Linked DNA regions of Saccharomyces cerevisiae S288C. The gene in region 1 interacts genetically with each later gene. Each region holds a gene or a part of one and is shown in the gene's direction. Other genes may lie near its edges.

Region 1 (3,464 bases):
TGTTGTATGTTGTTTTATATAGGTGAGAGCAGGATCTGCGGAAAATACTTCGTACCGTAGTATCCATTTTGCCTATGGAGGAAAGCTTGTTTCCAAACCAGGAGATCCGCAGACAGGAAAAGTTCGAGGCCAAACAAAAACCGCAGCACAATGGAGTAAAAGTCGAAGGCACGGGCCCCAAACGATAGAGTGGAAGTTGTAGGAAACAAAAGTGGCCGTCTATGTGGCGCTTCTCTGCGGTGAATTCTGTGCGAAGTGCCTAAACGAAAACGGACGGAGAAGGCTGCGGGGGGATATCCCTTGCATAAAGGATGCCCGGCACTGTCCTAGACGGTGCCTTCCCTTAGAGACTAGGAGAGACTTGAGTAGGAGAAACTGAGCAGGAAAATTCGAGAGATAAAGTACATGTGCCTAGGTAAGCTGTACTTCGAACAGCTAATATTAGTAAGATGCATAAAGGGGCGTCAAAGTGGAAATATAACGACAGGAGAATCTCGGTGTGTAAGTTGGAATGTGTATTGCACCACTTCCATGATTGGGCTTTTTTCCTGGCGCAAAATGTTGCTTTTTCAACATTTTTCTTATACGCAGAGAGAGAATCGTCAGATAGGTGGTAAAACTTGGAGCCTAATTAGCTCATTATTTCATTTGAACGAGACATTGGCTTCTGCCCTACATCACCCATACGAGACATTGGCCTTATACGAGGCGTACTTCGCCTTGCGGGAAAAAAAATTTCTTTTGTAAGCGAGGTTACTCAGAAACTGTGACTGAAGGCAGAGGTTGGAAACGTGTGTAGACTCCAAATGGAACGATAGGAACGTGTACCCTACCGCTTCTGCACACGTTTCTTAGATATGCGTGCCTTAAGGCGACCCATTGTTCCTGTTTACCATGATTTCTGTAGGCTTTTTTTTAGAAGGCCCTAGAATGGATTGCAGATTTCCGTCTGAGAAGGCAGTATACGTACATATGAATATATATATACATATATTCTTTGGTGGAGAGTATAAGCGTTTCGTCTCCTCTTCCTTTCTCTACTGCAGATTTTCTTGCTGGTTGTTTGATTTTTTCTTTTTAGTGTTCCCCAGATCCAATTGTTCAACCGCCCACACACAACAATGTCTTTCACTAAAATCGCTGCCTTATTAGCTGTTGCCGCTGCCTCCACTCAATTGGTTTCTGCTGAAGTTGGACAATATGAAATCGTCGAATTTGACGCTATTTTGGCTGATGTCAAGGCCAATTTGGAACAATATATGTCCTTGGCAATGAATAATCCAGACTTTACCCTACCATCTGGTGTTTTGGATGTTTACCAACATATGACCACTGCTACTGATGATTCCTACACCAGTTATTTCACCGAAATGGACTTTGCTCAAATCACCACTGCCATGGTTCAAGTGCCTTGGTACTCTTCTAGACTGGAACCTGAAATCATCGCTGCTTTACAAAGCGCGGGTATCAGTATTACCTCCTTAGGTCAAACCGTTTCCGAATCTGGTTCCGAATCTGCCACTGCTTCCTCAGACGCTTCTTCTGCTTCTGAATCCTCTTCAGCTGCTTCTTCTTCTGCTTCTGAATCCTCTTCAGCTGCCTCCTCTTCTGCTTCTGAATCCTCTTCAGCTGCTTCTTCCTCTGCTTCAGAATCTTCTTCTGCTGCCTCCTCTTCTGCTTCTGAAGCTGCTAAGTCTTCTAGCTCTGCCAAGTCTTCTGGCTCTTCTGCTGCTTCATCTGCTGCTTCATCTGCTTCTTCCAAGGCCTCTTCTGCAGCTTCCTCTTCTGCAAAGGCCTCCTCTTCTGCAGAAAAATCTACTAATAGCTCCTCCTCTGCTACCTCCAAGAACGCTGGTGCAGCTATGGACATGGGCTTCTTCTCCGCTGGTGTTGGTGCCGCTATTGCCGGTGCCGCTGCTATGCTCTTATGATTGTCACTTATTAATGATAAATTATAAAATGTTATATGTAAAAAAACAAATATACACTTTTTGAATATTAGTATCCTATTTTAATATACTGTCTCCTAGATAATACAAACTTAATTTGCTTTCTCTTCACACTTTTTTCTTTACTCTTGTAATGTACACTTGGCTGTACATTAAAAAAAGGAATGTTCGAGCAAGAGCATGAAATCCACAGACGGCTGTGCCATGTAGCAGCCGTCGAGAAAAAAAAGATATAGAAAAGGGAAGAGAAATATCATTGTTATTACATCCACTGGATGAAGTAATACTACGAGCTTTATACAGGTAATATTAAAGTTCCTTAATAGAATGGGTGAAGCACTACGTAGATCAACCAGGATTGCAATATCCAAAAGAATGTTGGAAGAGGAAGAGTCCAAACTGGCCCCTATTTCGACACCGGAAGTGCCTAAGAAGAAAATCAAGACGGGTCCTAAACATAACGCTAATCAAGCAGTAGTTCAAGAGGCAAATAGGTCATCTGATGTTAACGAATTAGAGATAGGCGATCCTATTCCTGATTTGAGTCTTTTAAATGAAGATAATGACTCTATCTCCTTGAAGAAAATCACCGAAAATAACAGAGTTGTGGTGTTTTTTGTGTATCCCAGGGCAAGCACGCCTGGTTGTACTAGACAGGCCTGTGGATTTCGTGACAATTACCAGGAACTCAAGAAATATGCTGCTGTCTTTGGACTGAGTGCAGATTCTGTGACATCCCAGAAAAAGTTTCAGAGTAAACAAAATTTGCCATATCATTTACTAAGCGATCCAAAGAGAGAGTTTATTGGGTTGCTAGGAGCCAAAAAAACGCCACTTTCTGGTTCTATTAGATCGCATTTCATTTTTGTTGATGGGAAGTTAAAATTCAAAAGAGTTAAGATATCACCAGAAGTTAGTGTAAATGACGCCAAAAAGGAGGTTTTAGAAGTCGCTGAAAAGTTTAAAGAAGAATGAAGTTTAATAACCCCCTTTTTGTTTCTCTAGAGGAGTACTTATCGGTAAAATATTCCAAACCCTTCCCTTTATATATGTAGATAAACGAAGATATTCTAACTCTCTCACACTTATAAAATATCGAGCCTGCAGAAGGTCATAAATATTTATATACAAATGGGAAAGTACTTAACGATCCGACTTGATCAATATCAAATATCGTGGCCTGGTTTACATTGAGAACGGGCACTATTTCTTTGGACGAAATGTTGCTTAGGCAAATTTTGAAGTGAGACATTGCTCGAGAATTTGTTACGTAGACTAAGTCAGCATCGCCAATGATCATTAAGCAATTGGTCGTCTCAGATGTGATCCTGCAATTATGAGTCCTTTCAAAATTAGATACACACTCTTGGGAAAACTCAACTAAGTATTTGGTGTGAGGAATCTCTTATCGATGCGTATACCTTGTAGTCGCAAACGTTATAAAATTTTGTAATTTTGGCGAAATGGCACGGATTGGTTAAAATTGTCGGGCTCATATGCGGTAGCGCTAAGTCC
Region 2 (3,490 bases), on another chromosome or scaffold:
TACTTTCCACGCAGATTGGCTGCTCTGTTTGTTTATTTGTTTTGGGAACGCGGTATTACCTCTCATTTCTCTGAGCGACTTTTCAACTTGGCGCGCCGACATTTGCGCTTTTTTTTACAAGTTGTCAAACTCTCGGATTATTTAAAAAAAAGGGTTTTTTGCTCTTCTTGTTCCCATCTACGGGTTTCACGGAAAAACTACCCCGAAAAAGAAGCACAGCTTTATAAAAAGACCGTATTAATTTGCTTTATTGGGTAATAACGGGGCATTCGGGACATACAATCATACGCTAGATGCTGCGTGTAATAATTAACATTGTAAATCCCTATCTTTTTTTTTTATATAAGTAGAGTACTTTAAAAAGAGTGGACGACTGAGTTCATATACAAGCAGACGCCCTTTCATTTAATCTCAATCTTGTTTCAGGCCGGCTTTTGTCCATAACTGCTACGCTGCGTAAAAAAAAAATAAGAGAAATTGAAAAATATGGGCGTCGTCTAAGGATGGTAACTAGCTTCATTATACTATGGGTCTTCCTTCTTTTCCAACGCTTCCACTTTGACCTCAATCTCTTCTCGATGGCCTAAGGTAGCAAGGTTGTGTTAAAAAAAACAAATACATCAGAGCAAGACACTTTTGGGTTTATTAGGTATTATAGGTATAGGTCAATTAATTTCTTATCTTTTGTTGAGAGGATAAGGGTAATATTAGCGACCCTTAAGTAATTTTTGTTCTGTTTTACTTCAGTTTAATAAAAGCGACTGCCGCCGACCTTACTCCCTTTTTTTTATTATGCTCCTCGAGACAAGGTCGCTTAAAAAAAAAAAAAAGCTTAGTCAGACATGCAATCAGCGCAATTTATGGAAGCTGGAAAGGGGGGCCGCATTTTATGCACTATCTCTTGAATTCAAAAAGTAATTCAGGCCAAATTAACTAAGGATGCAAATGAAGCGAGTACTGAACGAATAGTCATGTTCTGAATTTCAAGCATTCAAATTTTGCTTTTCAGCGCTGTTCATCTTAGCGCTTACCATAAAGAGGAATACGTAATTCAACAACGGAGTTGAAAAATTTTTAAAATCGTGCCGGTGTTAGTGAGAAGAGGATGGAGGGAATTAATACTTCGATGGAAGATGCAACTTGCAAATGTAGTCCGGTTACCAAGAGACCCAAACCTCTTCCACTTTACTATTTCTCCTTTGAGAAATATATCAGTTTGCGGTAATAGGTAATATGAAAAAGGCAATAAAAAAAAGAGATACTTGTCACCATCTCGTCTCCCTTTACCTTTTTTACTTAATCTTCTTCGTCGTCATCTGTTCCATCCCTTTCCTAGCTTAGTCTTCTCCGGCTAGTTCTTAGTGCGGTGAGCAAAAAAAATAGCGTTTTTTTTCCCTCACCAGGACTTTTTTTGTTAACCGAAAATCGGCATCTCTAGTTTTCCTGGACAAAAAAGGCAAAATGGAAATAAACACTCATACGAATCAGTAAAGATGTAAATAATCGCAGTAACGACTGCACAAGGATGTCAGAAAAAGCAGTTTAATTCCAGAAGTGGTTTTCCAATTTATCACACATGTACATGAAGGGAAATGTATAAATACGGTCTTCGTAAAACAAAGGATCTCTTCACCTGGTTTCTTCATTTATAAGTAGTGTCTTTTTCGGTAACTTAAGATATATCCTTATTTCTTTCCCACTTCTCGTTATTTCTTCTTTTTCCCTTTTCAAGTTCTTCTTTTTATTTATTATTAAGCTTATTTTAATTCTTAGATCGTTGTCACTATCTTTTGTCCTTATTGTTAAGAAACATTGCGAAGAAAAAGAATAATAAAAGAAACTCAGAAAAAAAAAAAGTTTCCTCGAACAAAAATATTATTATTTCAATAACTTTTTCTTTCTCTACATCCAATTTTTTGACCCTATTTTAACATTAATTTTTTGCTTTAATTTTAACTAATACCTAATTTCACTTAATATCTAATCATCTTCCTTTAACCCACAGAACAAAGAAGAAAAATAACAATGTCTACCTTTGAAACTTTAATTAAAAGAGGTGGTAACGAAGCCATCAAAATTAACCCTCCAACCGGTGCGGATTTCCACATCACTAGTCGTGGTTCCGATTGGTTCTGGACATGTTTCTGTTGTTACCTATTATTTGGTTTAATTTTAACATTCTTAATGTTCAGAAAACCAGTCAATGACAGATTCTTTTACCTTACCGGTATTGCTCCAAACTTTTTCATGTGTATCGCTTATTTCACCATGGCTTCTAACTTAGGTTGGATTCCAGTCAAGGCTAAGTACAACCATGTCCAAACTTCTACTCAAAAAGAACATCCAGGTTACAGACAAATCTTCTACTCTAGATTCGTTGGTTGGTTCTTAGCTTTGCCATGGCCAATTATTCAAATCTGTATGCTAGCTGGTACCCCATTCTGGCAAATGGCTTTCAATGTTTGTATTACTGAATTCTTCACTGTTTGTTGGTTGATCGCTGCCTGTGTTCACTCCACTTACAAATGGGGTTACTACACCATCGGTCTAGGTGCTGCTATTGTCGTTAGTATCAGTGTTATGACCACCAGTTACAACTTGGTGAAACAAAGAGATAACGATATCAGGTTGACATTCCTTGTTTTCTTCAGCATTATTATGTTCTTGTGGATTATTGCTTACCCAACTTGTTTCGGTATTACCGATGGTGGTAACGTTTTGCAGCCAGACTCTGCCGGTATTTTCTATGGTATCATTGATCTTATTTTGATGTGTTTCATTCCAACTTTATTGGTTCCAATTGCTAACCACTTCGGTGCTGACAAATTGGGCTACCATTTCGGACCTAGTGATGCCGAAGCAGTGATGGCTCCAAAAGCTCCAGTTGCTAGTCCAAGACCTGCTGCTACACCAAACTTGAGTAAGGACAAGAAAAAGAAGTCTAAGAAGAGCAAGAAATCTAAGAAGTCTAAGAAGTCTGAAGAATAAGCCAATCGTCATGTCAATTATGTGCTACTTTCTTCTTTCTTTCAATCATCTTTGAAGAATTTTCTACTTCAAGCCAATCCTATAAATGGATAAAACTGTCTTTATTGATTATTTGACAAGATTATTTTACTCCATCTTCAACTTTTATCATATTTTATTTTATTTTCCTGACGTTTCAATATTTTCGTTCGTTAAATTATCACCATTTCTTGTCGAATTTTTATTTTCTATCATAAAGTGCAATTCTAGACTCATTTTTTAATTTAATGGATCCATTTAATCCATTTCGTCAAGCAAGTATGTTTTCATAACAATATTTTGCTCAGTGCATTTTGATCAAGAAACGTATAGTTGATGATTAGAAACGAGCTTTTTTATGCCCATCGTCATCTATATATATATTTGTATCACTTTAATAGTTATTTTAATATTTGATAACAACCTTTCTAATAGTATTGTTATGGAAGGTTTAGTGCTGGAGGAAAAAAAAGAAAGATAAAGG

Evidence for each region.
Region 2: mutations in DOT5 (region 1) and MRH1 together harm fitness more than expected from each alone (negative genetic interaction), as found in Saccharomyces cerevisiae (2 studies listed by BioGRID).

Annotation. Positions count from the first base shown.
Region 1 is NC_001141.2:332,606-336,069, forward strand, and holds DOT5 (thioredoxin peroxidase DOT5), read left to right. Parts: upstream 1-2,276; coding exon 2,277-2,924; downstream 2,925-3,464. Other genes in the region: YIL012W (uncharacterized protein), read left to right, coding at 406-747; TIR3 (Tir3p), read left to right, coding at 1,122-1,931.
Region 2 is NC_001136.10:506,122-509,611, forward strand, and holds MRH1 (Mrh1p), read left to right. Parts: upstream 1-2,025; coding exon 2,026-2,988; downstream 2,989-3,490.